Nothobranchius furzeri: one gene and its partner. The protein of the gene in region 2 purifies or fractionates together with the protein of the main gene of each other region. This does not show direct contact. Links are inferred from orthologs where the notes say so. Each region holds a gene or a part of one and is shown on either strand. Other genes may lie near its edges. The genes, in order: bet1l and gosr1.

What was found.
Region 1: the proteins of gosr1 (region 2) and bet1l purify together in Homo sapiens (affinity purification with western blotting; 3 studies listed by BioGRID and IntAct, with this or other methods). This does not show direct contact. The link is inferred for Nothobranchius furzeri from reciprocal best matches to the Homo sapiens genes GOSR1 and BET1L.

The regions. Positions count from the first base shown.
Region 1 is NC_091754.1:42,722,873-42,728,722, reverse strand, and holds the end of bet1l (BET1-like protein), read left to right. Parts: intron 1-1,130; coding exon 1,131-1,187; intron 1,188-2,551; coding exon 2,552-2,719; 3' UTR 2,720-3,469; downstream 3,470-5,850. Other genes in the region: deaf1 (deformed epidermal autoregulatory factor 1 homolog), read left to right, coding at 3,678-4,083. UniProt on the Homo sapiens protein: Vesicle SNARE required for targeting and fusion of retrograde transport vesicles with the Golgi complex. Required for the integrity of the Golgi complex.
Region 2 is NC_091753.1:37,562,351-37,570,040, forward strand, and holds the start of gosr1 (Golgi SNAP receptor complex member 1), read right to left. Parts: upstream 4,017-7,690; 5' UTR 3,967-4,016; coding exon 3,933-3,966; intron 3,317-3,932; coding exon 3,205-3,316; intron 1,252-3,204; coding exon 1,164-1,251; intron 503-1,163; coding exon 395-502; intron 293-394; coding exon 201-292; intron 1-200. Other genes in the region: cpda (carboxypeptidase D), read right to left, coding at 6,629-6,855, 7,051-7,153. UniProt on the Homo sapiens protein: Involved in transport from the ER to the Golgi apparatus as well as in intra-Golgi transport. It belongs to a super-family of proteins called t-SNAREs or soluble NSF (N-ethylmaleimide-sensitive factor) attachment protein receptor.

The DNA of each region.
Region 1 (5,850 bases), on a different chromosome or scaffold from region 2:
AGCGTTGCTGCCTTTCACAGACACTTTTTCTGCACGTGCTGCAAACAGGATAGCCGTCTTCTATCAACTGTCCCTCGGCATTCTTCAAACATCCAAAAAATGCCCGTACTTCCCACTTTGTCTTCTTTGAGGGATAATAAATGTCCTGAGTGCTGCCGTCTCCTCCTTTGGCCGTTATTTCAGCTTTAGCTTCAAGAAAGTTTTGGTTGTAAACAACAAAGCGCGCATGTGCCGCCGGCAACTTCAGCAGATGATACGGTGGCTGGTAAGGGTCACCGAGCCTACACCGCAGCCAGGTAACCCACCGAGATAATATAGTTTTTTAAAAACAAGACGGTTATTATTATTGTCAACTTTTTTACCGGGGTTTACCGCTACACCGGTTACCGTGACAACCCTAGTTCAGAATGCTGCTGTCAGAGTCTTAACAAGAACTCCTGTTCTTAGATCCCTACACTGGTTGCCAGTAAACCACAGAATAGACTACAAAGTGCTCCTACTAGTTTATAAATCACTCAATGGCATGGGGCCAAAATACATGTCAGATCTCATTCCTGTATATACACCCAATAGGGCTCTGAGATCCCTTGGAAACAATCAGCTGGTAGAACCTCGGGTCAGAAGCAAACATGGTGGAGATGCATTTAGTTACTATGCTGCTCACATATGGATCCAGCTTCCCCATGACCTCAGATCTGCCCCAACTCTAGTGTTGTTTAACGCTAAAAACCCGAATGTACTCATCAGCCTTTACATGATTTGTTTCTTATGCTGGGTCGTCTCCACTGTAATCTCTGATGTAATTGCTCAACCATAGCTCTGTCTTTTCCTTTTAGCTCTAGAATATAATTGTATCTGTGTTCTCGTGTTTATTGTCGTGCCATTTCATGCTAAGTGTAAAGCACATTGAATTGTCCCTGTGTTTGAAATGTGCTGTATAAATAAAGCTGCCTTCCCCTAAAAATGAATAACATTTACCAAACAGCATTGGGGTTTGCATTTTCACAAAGACATAATGAAAGCATTGTTTTTGTATTTATGTTTGTTCACCAGAATGCCCCAGCTAGAGTGGAAACAGGATTGAGTTGAAAGTTGTTGTAACCTCTGATCTTCTGTCTCCTTTTTGGCAGCTAGCATATGACATCGACAGAGAGGCTGACGACCAGAACGAGTACCTAGACGGCATGGTGGGTCCAATCTGTGGCTGACATCGTCTTTGATGGAAATTTTGGACTTTATTTCCAGATTAAAGTCAACATTTTTAGTAAAACTAGTCAAAGTAGATTTTCAAGATGAGGAATAAAAACAAGCACTGTCTCAAAGGCCTACAGTCTTTCAAGCAGAACTTAAACGTTAAAGTCCCATTAGTCGTCACCCAGGTGGAGTGTTGAGCTGCAGACGCGGCTGTGCTCTGGAACTATTGGGTTGTTTAAGCCCCCAATCGAACAAAACCTTTAATGCTGAGTGTCAAACGTTGGTTAACATTTCTCAAGTCTGCCTCGTCCATTATTCTGGAGAACGAGAGGAGCCGAGTGTGGCTGAGAGGCCGCCAAACACAGTGGAGGACGAGCTTCTCCGAGCCTCCACAGAGCCGGCTTCAATCAAAATACACCCGAATGAATCCACTGTTTATATAAGGAACAATAACACTACCGGATTTACCGGTCGATCTACGTCCCAATCCTCCCCTATGGTCATGAGCTTTGGGTAATGACCGAAAGAACGAGATCGCGGGTACAAGCGGCCGAAATGAGATTCCTCCATAGGGTGACTGGGCTCAGCCTTAGAGATAGGGTGAGGAGCTCGGACATTCGGGAGGGACTCGGAGTAGAACCGCTGCTCCTCCGGATCGAAAGGAGTCAGTTGAGGTGGTTTGGGCATTTGGTCAGGATGCCTCCTGGACACCTCCCTGGGGAGGTGTTTCGGGCATGTCCTGATGGCAGGAGGCCCCCTGGGTCGACCCAGGACACGTTGGAGAGGTTACATCTCCAATCTGGTCCGGGAACGCCTTGGGGTACTGCCGGAGGAGCTGGTGGAGAAGGCCGGGGAGAGGACGGTCTGGAGCTCCCTAGTTGGGATGCTGCCCCCGCGTTCCGGACCCGTATAAGCAGAAGAAGATGATGACGGCAATAACACTAACCCATTCATAATGGTGGATTTGAACAGCAGTCTCCCAGTCTCAGGGCACACACTCATACCATTAGGCCACTGAGCTGGTCTTCAGAAGGTTGAGTGGAGACCAAATTGTCTCTGAGTGAGTGAGTGAGTGAGTGAGTGAGTGAGTGAGTGAGTGAGTCGGTGGTCGTTTGTCTCGTGTCCCTGTGATGGACTGGAGGCCTGACCTGGGTGTCCCTGCCTCTCAGCCAGTGGCTACTGCACATAGACTCCAGCTCCTCACGACCCTAACAAGGAATAAGTGGTTTAGATGATGAGTGAGAGAGTTTTATGGGATAGATGATCCCAAATGTTTACCGGGAATTCTACACTGTCAGTGAGTCGAGTTAAACAGGCCTGGCTTCGCTGTAAATACTGTTCTCTTCTTCCTCTTTAGGACTCAAACTTCCTGAGTGCGACGGGCTTGTTAAGCGGCAGCGTGAAGCGTTTTTCCACCATGGTCCGATCTGGCAGAGACAACCGCCGCCTCCTCTGTTACGTTTCCATGGGTCTGGTTCTGGTGTTCTTTCTTCTTTATTACCTGGTGTCCCGGATTCAGCGCTGAGACCAGACTGTTACCACCACACCAGACTCCAGTGAGCTCTGTATCTCGAGCAAAGAAGACTTTTTTTTTTCATTCATCAGGACCAAAGAGAGAAACGTTAGATGTCAACAGGAAGTACTAATGTAGAGCAGGTGGTGTGGGCTCGCTCGATGGGAGGAACGGTGGTGGATCCTGTTATGAAAACAGCTTCCCTCTGTGGAGAACCAGCTTTGACCTGCCCTGCATCCCGAGAGAAGGAAGGAGAAACATCTGGTTTTGGTACAACACAGCTGAGTCTCAGCTCCTGATCACACACCAGTTCAAATCAGAGCATCTCTGATGAATCTTAGATTTATTCAAGTCTTTGGAGGTTAAGGGTTCTCTTTCATGTTTCATGTATTTGCATTGAAACTATAAGTTATGGATTATTGCAATGCTTATGTCAATACGTCTCTGGCATTAACATTAATGTTAAGATCCTGTTTGGGGTTTATAGAGATGATTTGGCCCTTTATTCATTCAAATTTCATTTCAAGTCATCAAACGATTGTGTATTCCAGCAAGTTTTCTCATCACAGATGAATGACATTGATTTAAAGACTGTTATTAGGGTTGGTTGCAGACTTGGTGGTATTGTACCTATTATGGGATTTATATAAACAACGGATCCATTTGGTTGCATTTTGAGTAAAGAAGGAATATATTTATTTTCACGACTGTGACTCAAATAATGATTTTATTTTAGTAACTGAATAAAACATTTTAAGATGTTATAGTTGTTTCCTTGCCATCTAAAACCTCTGAAATATTTTCAAAAAGTTTTTTTAAATCCATTCTTTTTGTTAGTACGATTGAAATGAACAACGAGACAAGAGGGATGGCCAGTTAATCTGCGCGGAAGCGGGAATCTTGACCGGCGAGTCGCTTCGGGTAAACTCGTATCCTCTCGGTATTTTCCGGAACTCGCCACAGACATCAAATGCGAACAAAGAAAGAGCTGTTGTCCTTATTCCTCTGGATTAGCTGGTGTGGTTCCGTTAGATTTGGGTTGAATACGCGACGAGCTGATTATTTAAACCGTACCAGTAAACGTGACGTGTGCAGCGCTGTCGGAGAAGCTCGTGCTCCGCTGTGTTCCGCGGCCGCTCGCCTCGGCCACATTCGGCTCCTCTCGTTCTCCGGAATAATGGACGAGGCAGACTCGGCCACGAAAGCGCTCGGGCTGGATGAACCGCCCATCGGCGGGTCGTCTGTGGAGGGAGCGAGCTCGGATACGGAGTCGGAGGCCGAAGTCACCCCGATGGCTGTGATGGCGGAACCGGGAAACATCGACATGGGAGCCGAGTCCCTGCCGAACTCCGACGAGGCCGAGGCTGCTTTTGCAGGTAACCAGCAGCTGCAGGCCGCCAGATTATTTAGTATCTAACGTATATTTGGCTCTGTTAAAAGCCATGCATTCGGAGTCCACATATAAAACTACATTAATGAAAATAAATAGCTAGACTGCTGTGCCGAAGTCCATTCAGGTTTTGTGTGTTTTTAACTGTCACCATGACAGGAAATGTCTTTACTATAGCTAGACCTTAGTTTACCAGTTTAACCGATGCTCTCAAATTCGGCAGCAGCAAACATGAGGGGGAGATGACCCGGTTGCAGGGTGCAAGTGTTTACAGTCAGAAGATGCAATGTTGACTTTTAAGGTGGCCCAGAAGGGTCAATCAAAATTCAAACGCAACAAAAGATTTCACCCAGAACAACACAATATGGCTTGGTGAAGGACTTTGGTTAGTTGGGATTTTTAAAGACAAATGAAACTAAAGACTTTTGACAACGACCCGTCACCTTTTATTAGTCTGTTTACAGTAGAGAAAGAAATCTGCACATTTCCATTGCAAGTTTTATTGACAAACCTCAGTTTATATTATTGTTATTTATATGTTTGTGTCTCTGATCGTTTTTGGTTCTGGAAGCCTCAGACTTCATGGATGTTTGAGCCAAATCACTATAATATTACCAGTGAACGTGATTAAATGGCAGAGGTGTGGACTCGAGTCACATGACTTGAACTCAAGTCAGACTCGAGTCATTATTTTAATGACTTCTGACTTGATTTGATAAAATTTATAAAGACTTACGACTTGATTCGGACTTAAACGCCAGTGACTTGCGACTTGAATTGACTTACATCTGTTGACTTCAAATCATCACATCAGATTTTATTTATAAAGCGCTTTTCAAGCCAAGTGCTACTCAAAGTGCTTTACAGTATCAAAATGACCCCAAATTCCCATAACAATTTAAAAACAATAACACACACACACACACACACACACACACACACACACACACACACACACACACACACACACACACACACACACACACAATAACATCAGTAAAAATGTATATTCGGCTGAGTCCAGATGAGCCAAGTAAGGTAAGGCAAGGAAACGCCATCAGCGGAGCCGTCTGCCCCGGCAACATCAGGTCTTCCACAGCAACTAAGTCAGAACACTCAGAGGAGGGGCAGCATAGACCCCCACCTCCACCCAAACACTACCTGTAGAACGCCCAGGAAGCAACAGTCGACCACGACCCCTGGGGCAGAGGGCCCCTGCAGAGAAAACACTGGATTAAAATGAGTAAAAATATGAAAATAAAAGAGTTAATATAAATGACAAAATTAATAAAATAAATAATTAAATCATATGGACAGTAAAATTATAACATTGTTAAATAATGAAACGGTGCTAAAATATAATCATGTAAAACATGCAAAGCCAGTAATAAAATATAGTCATGTAAAACGAGAAACTAAACTATAGTAAATATTTAGATAAAAGCTAACCTATATAGGTGGGTCTTGAGCCTGAACTTAAAAACGTGAACGTTCTCTGCGACCCTGAGGTCCTCTGGCAGCTCGTTGCAGAGGCGAGGGCCATAATGCTGGAAGGACGACTCGCCGTAAGTGTGTGTCCTGACTTTAAGGAGGACCAGGAGACGCCTGCCAGAGGAGCGCATAGGCTGTGAGGGTTCATATGGGAAAAGCAGTTCTCAAAGATAAGAAGGTCCAGGACCATTAAGACACTTAAAAACCGTTAGAAGAACCTTAAAATGTATGTATTTATTTATTTATTTAAACATAATTTTAT
Region 2 (7,690 bases):
AGACAAGGAGGTCAGAAATCTTCAAACCGCTTCAAACAAAACATTTCTCAAGTGAGACAAAACTTGAACGTTCTTCTAAAGACTTGGGTCTGAAACGTCTCAACTCCTTCAAAATGATTTAACAGTTCTTAAATTTAGCACTCGTTAACAACAAAAGAAAGGCTTCACAGGACAATAACGAATGTTGAGTGGATACTCACTCGATGTCTTTCCTGACAGAACCTAGAAGATCTTCCCTTTCTCGGATGGCCAGAAAGTTGCCTTTGGTTTTGTGAAACTCGTGCGTGTAATCCTGAACGGAAACAGGAATAAACAACAAGGAAACACCAAGTAATCAAAACTACCAAAAAGACGAACAAGAAGCAGAAAGGATTGTGATGAATGACGGTGAAACCTGCAGAATGTCTCGGTGTCTCTGGAGGGTGTGCATCAGCGCAGCGTTGAGAGAAGCTGTTCCCGGGGTGTTTGTGTACTCGGCCATCTTGTCGTTTACCACCGTCAGCTGAAGGAGATGTTGGAGATGAGTGGATGGAACAAGAAGAATTAAGGCATCAGAACCAATAAAACCAATAAAAACTTACACTAAATCTGAACACAAATAGCTATAAAAAGGCTAAATATCCAAATTATGGGCCATTCCCATGTGTACCGGGTCGGCCCGGGCCGGGTAGCGTAGGTTGTTTACATATCAGGGTGGCCTGGTATTTCTCCGGGCCAACCAAGGCTCATTCTCAGCCCTCTTCTCGAGGGGGTCTGCTTCAGGCCGACCAGGGCCAACACACCCACTGCTGACAGCAAATTCACACCTTCCATTAGAGCAAGCCTCTGATTGGTGGGTAGAATCAGCCCACATGGGCTTAAGACGAATCAACCGGGCCAGGCTGGGGCCGACTGGGGCTACCCGGCCCAGGCCGACCCGGTACAGAAGGGAATGGCCCATTATAGAACATTGCTTCAATCTGTGGCCAATATTACTTCTTTTTGTAACTTTACTTGCAATAAAGTCTATTTCATTAGAACATAAATTTCCATACAAGATCACTTTTTGGCTTCTGCAACACCAGACTGGAATATTTCTGACAAAGTGGTCCATGCAAATCAGCTCACTTATCAATGTCAGGATATCTGGATCTTCCTCACCCTTCATGAAGAGAACAGCCTACCTTGGCCAGCAGCTGCTCGATCTCCACAGACATGGTGTCGAACATCCTGTCCTGGCTGGAGTTGTTTAGTAGCGGGGTGGTGTCTGAACTTTAGATGGAAATACGAGAAAGTCATCTTAAAGATGTTCATCTCACTTTAAAGGTAAAAGTGTGAATAACAAAACACATAGATGACAAGTGACATTTAAAAACACTGCAGAAAACTGGAATTATTTTTCCCAGCATGGACTCAATCCAGCAGCATTCCATGTCCTAGATGACTGACAGGCTTTGGCAAATCATAAAATTAATTAGGGTTTATTTTATGTTTGCTTTGATTTGATTTATACTGCAATTGGATTGAGAACTCTCCTTGTACAGAAAATAAATTTCTTCAAAAGACAAGAAAAATCCAGTCACTGTTTTTTGAAAAATACTCTTAAAATTATCTTAAACTGAAAAAACTGGGAACAAACTATGTTGATGTAATGCAGCAAAGATTTTACTGAATTTACAGAAGAGCTGCATCAAACATTTACATACTATTATCCAAAACACTTTCTGCATCACATCTATGTCATCACAATAATTATTTTAAAGATTATAAAAGATTATGAGATCATTTTGAAAATAGTTGATTTATACTTGTTCTTTTGGTCGTTTGAAATAAGTAGCTTAATTACCCGTTTCCTGTCTTGGTCACGTATTGATCAGAACTTTTTCCCATTTCCAAACACTTTAACTTGCTAGGAACAAAATATCTAGGCTGTGTTGCAACTACAGCTATATAACACAGTTAAACCATTTAAAAAATATTTATTTAAGAAGTAGAGAGATATTTCTGTTCCTCTTATTCACAAACTACCTCAAATATTATCGCCAGGATGTGGCTGAATAGTATTTTAGATGGGGCAGAAATTAACTGTGCACGATCATAACATTTCAAGATCCTGGCTCTGGTCTATAGGGCCTTACATGGACAAGCACCATCTTACATTGGTGATCTTCTTAGTCCCTACACCCCCAGCAGGTCCCTGAGGTCCAGTGATCAGACTACTGGTTGTGCAGCACACCAGGCTAAAGACCAAAGGTGACAGATCATTTGCTGCTGTGGCCCCCAGACTCTGGAACTCTCTCCCCCTGAGCCTGAGATCAGTGGACTCAGTGGTCTCCTTTAAACTCACCTGTTCAGGCTGGCTTTTGTGTGATCTTCATCACCACCCTCTCCTTGTTCTGCTCTTTCTACCAATTCCACCTTTCCTGGGATCCACTGATTTCCTCTTTTTTATATGGTAAATGGTAAATTATACATTTTCTCTTTCCCTTTCCTTACATTTTTAAATGACAATTATTTATTTTTCTCATTTTTATGACTTTTTTTTTTTTGCTTAATTTTTGTTCTTGTGAAACTACTCGTGATTTTTATCAAGAGAGACCCGATATAAAAGATCATTTTCTTTCTTTCTTCTTTCAAGAAGCAACTGAAAACAAGACATTAAGGAAGACATGTGTCTTGGTCAGCAGTTTTTGATAAATTTGGAAATTATTTTGTTAATAAAAGCCCAGCATTACAACTTTTGACTACTGTGATGATTATTTTAGCAAATCAAAAACATCTGGATGTTCGGTTTCTGGTATTCAATCAAATTAAAAAGTAGATAAACTCTTTATAGTCAGAGCTATATATTCATTTTAAAAAATAGCCCTGACTACCTCTAAATGTTGGATGAATACAACCCTATCCCTTAAGCCAAACATTTCCATCTGTGATTGTCTTAGTGTTTCATAAGTATGTATAAAAAACTTTGCTAACCAAACTTAAGAAACCAATTTGTTCTACCCCTAAATTACAAGAATGAAATTATAGAAATATCATCTGGCTCCTAATTGGAAACTACTTCATTTTGTCTATTGATGAAAATAAGTAACAAAAGTGTGTCTTTACTATAAACTATAAGGAACTAGAGACAGCTTAACTGAATTCAAGTTGTCATTGCATTACATCTAGTAGTAAGAATGGAAGCAGGTGTTTATTTTCAGGTGTGATCGTGATTAATCTTACGTTTCTCCTCGACGTCCATCCCTGGAGCTGCTGTAGCTGGTGCAAAGTTTACTGAAGGAGACCAGTTTCAGGTCCAGCTCATTCTCCAGCTGCCTTGCCTGTTTTCTCAAGTCTGCAACAAAAATTTCATGATTAGTGGTTCAAGTTTTACAGTTTTGATAGCGAGACATGGGAAGAAAGGTTTATGCCATTTATTTGTAGCTCTTCATATTATCTAGTTAAATGGAAAATACTTATTTATATATATACATATAAAAATGTGTGTGTGTGTGTGTGTGTGTTTATTATTGGTATTATTATTGAAGTTCTCCACATTTAGTTGATGGTTGTAGCCCCTTGTTGTTTTCATTTCTGATGTAAAAACTTTCATATAAAACACAACTGAAGCAACGTCTGACGTTTTAAGCTAAATATAAAGCTAAACCGGGAGAACAGCCTAAACCTATCTGCTCAATGGCATCCAGCGAAGGTAGGCTTGATGTTAAGGGCTGATAAGTCTATCAAAGGAACGAGGCGGATTTAACAGCTTAAGGAGCAACACCAACTTCTGAGTAACATGACGATGTGTTAGCTTGTTGGTGGGAGCGGGCTGTTGGTCTAGGGGTCACGTACAAACAATAAAACTACACAAAGACGGCCACAAGTTCCCTCTCACGTTATGTGAACGGCACAAGTGGGTACTGCGTTTAATAACAGCTGGAAACTGAATAATAATATTCGCTCCTTACCCTCCCAGTAAGTGCTGCTTCCTATTCCTGCCATCTTTGTTGTTCTGCGACGTCAGCCTCAATTTTAGGTCACGTGACGTAAGGAGACGCACGATATAGGGCTTTTGTCGCCCTCGGTTGAGACTGCAAGGTACGGCAGGCTCTTTCATTCCATGCGTTGCTCAAAGTTACGAAGTTAGTTAGATCAAATCAGCTCATTGTTTATTCTGTAAAAATTTAAATTATGTCCAGATAAAATAATTTTAGAGTGCAATGCAACCCTTTGATGAAAACTCTTGTGTGTCTTTTATATATCTCAATCTGTTTGTTGCAGTTGTTAACAGCATTATTTTCTTGCCATGCTAGAAAAATAAATAAATAAATGGTTTTGTTCTTAAATACAAAATGTTGTCATGAAAGTTTTTGTTTGTTTTGTGGTTTTATTAAAAAACATTGGTAAAATTGTAAAATTTTTCATTTTTTCTAAATCTCAACACAGATAAATGACCCTCTTTTCTCAGTTTCTGACATCAAAAGTTACATTCCAAGAGCACAATTAAATTTCCAAGTAAACTGTTTGCAATGGACCGGTTAAAACTTAATACATAAATACTGTCATTTTAAAAACGAGGTCATTTTAAATCACGATGGAAAAGTGAAGAACAAACAGGTGGTTAGTAAGGTCAAAATTAAAAATAGATTATCTTTTGTCTTTTTAATGTTTGGTTTCTGCATGTACAGCTTACAATCTTCTTCCTGTTCTCGGAAAGGATGTACCCTTTTTTCTCTTTCTCCTCTTTGCCTGCCAGACTCGTCCTCCAGGAGCAGTCTGGCAGTCCAGGCCACTCCTGGACTGCAACATGCAACTGAAGGGTGGAAGTGCGAGTATTGGGATTGGTCCTTCTTCTATGCTGAATATAATGCAATGTAACTCTTTGCTACATTACAATAAACAGGTTTGGGACAATTGGTTTTGTTTGCAGTACTCACAAACAAAAGTGATTAAAAACAAGTGGTGCTCAGAGATGTTTTTATTTCCATGTTTTGGGAGTTTTTGTGCATGTTAGCCTGGTCTCAGTACCACCAAGATGCTTCTAAATGTATGTGAAGTCAACATAAGGTGCACATCCCACAGACATTTCAATTTGCAAACAATATTTAGTTAATTCCAATTTATTTTATAAAATCGTCACATCAACACAGCGTGACGCTTTCCTAAGTCTTTACACAAGGCCTTTCAGACATGATAGAAGAGTAACTTACATTTGTATTCCTTGCCAAGAAACGATCTCTTGAGAAAAATAAAGGGGAATTATGAAGAGAACAAGTGTATTGCTTTGAATCCATGCAGGTCACATAACAATTTAGAGAACCAGTGCAGCGATCTAATAGCAGTCAGAAGAATAAACCAGTTTGATGTGTTGGGTCTTTCAACTGATTTGGTTTTAGATGTTTCAGAATAAAAATCTGTCTTATTTTGAGTACAGGATCACCAAAATAAAATATATTTTTTTTCTTTTAATGGTCACATTTCCCACTAAGATGACAGCACAGATACAATCTTAGCATATAAATAAGCTTCAAAGGGACCGAACTTCTCTTAAATAAACACACAAGTAATGAAAAAATTCATATGATAAAGTCTAAATTAACAAGTTTGAAAAATATTACCTCTTGAGGTTGTGCAGAAAGGGTGGCTTTGACAGAGTCCTTGAAACAAAACAATTAACACACTAGTAATGACATTTACAACTAAAATAACCAGTTGAAAGGGAATATAATTGGCAGAAGAGAAAGTCCCAAACCTCAAAGTGTCAGAATAAAGATATGTCTACAGTCACACAAAAAGGGCACAACACATGTGACATTCGTGGATAACAGCAATAACCGTCCATGTACATACAGAAACTTACTATAAACAAAGCTTTAAAACAAACTGGGAATAATAAATACAGTATTTTCATGACAGAGCGTTGTACATTTCTTATCACCAGTGATGAACGGATGGTTTCAACTTACTGCAAACATACAAAATTTCCTTTCCGTGCTGAATCAGTGTCACATCAGAATTTAGCTTTCCTTGGGACACAATTTCATATTTTACATAACCTGAGTAAAGGACAGATCCAATTTCAGCATTAACTAACCCAGCCACAAAGCTTTGTCTCTTCTCACAGCCTGACTGGAACCATGGCGTTTTACAGAAGCAAAAAGGCACAGTGTGTTCAATTCAAGCCCACAAACAGACCTTTCACGAGAACTCCTCCATACTGGACCAAGAAATGAGAACCATTTATAAGCTCTCAGCTTCAGGCAGTATTGGAAACAATGCATGGTAATGGCAACTATCGAGGAGAGATTCCAGGAGATAAAGCGCTTCTATTTTCCACTAATTGAACTACTGAGTTCATTGGGACTGCGAGGACAAATAATGGTCTGATCATCTTGAACGGCTCTGAAACAAAACAAAAAGCTGCAGTAAAGGTTGATCAGGGCTGTTTTTGACCTCAGAGTGCTGCATACATGAACCCCTTAACCTAAAGGATTCTTAGTTTTAGCAGCACTGAAAGGACGGGGCTGAGCCCTTTAAACTTTATGGCATGATAGAAAAAACACTTTAAAGCTGCTCATTCTTGGGTCCATTCAGCTCCATGCTGGTCAGGGACTTGACTGTGGTGGGAGCTGAAAAACATAAAAATACTGCTGCTGTGCATTTCTCAGATCTTGTTGGCATACAGAGTCTCTTCTTCACTTTCACTTTCGTCCTGAAACTCATTAGCGAGCAGCAATTTCTTGGAGCCCATGGTGTTGAGTCGGATCTCGTCATCATAAATGTCGCGATGCTGTCGCAGGCGGTGAAAGCCGTCTTTCTGACTGTTGGACTTGGCTGCACACACGCACCAGATGATGCATGCCGTCATCACCAACGCCGTCATGGAGGCAGCTGCAGAGCAGAAATGAAGAACACAATTCAGCGCACACGCACATCCTTTACACGAAGGATTCAAGGACAAATAGCTCCTACTCGGGTCTTTAGCTGCAATCGAACAAACCACATCTTCAAAAGCAGCCGTTTGTTTTCATAAACAAGCTGTGTAATTATTTTTGTTACTTCTAGATTCTCCATAGAAATGCTTACCTGCACTGGCCACAACAAACTCTCTAGGCAAGCCAAAAATATTGTTATCCAAGTCAAACTCGATGACGACAGAGTTAGCAGCTTTGTAAGGAGACACCACCACCTAGAAAATAAAAAAAAACACACAAATGTACATTTTAAATGTTTGTAACATCCAGACTTATGCAGGTGTCCCATCACAGCCAGATTTCTGACAGAAACACTCCAGTTAAATAAAAAATATAATTATTTGTACTTATTTTGAATCTGAGCTAAAAGCTGCAGCCACCAGTTATTTTCCAGATTTCCACAGACAGAAGTGGTGCATTAGGATCAGACAATGAGGTCATTAAACAATTATGTTTTTTAGATCGATTTTACAAGACTTTTATTAGTTTTAACGCATTCAAACATCCAAACTCTTCCCAAGGCTGATTGTCTATGAAAGTGGGGTAAAAGCTTTGTGTTTAAAGGCTTTTGGAGACATGGTTGGTAATTAAGGTAATTAGCAAATCACATCTGCAGGTGTGTCTACTTAGTATAATCTGCTGCAGGTAGCCTGCTGTCTAAAATGTGCTGGTGCAATACAATCCCATAATATCCATCTAAGAGGTAAATTGCAAGAATCTTAAAATGCAATTTTACTTTTGTTTACCTTCTT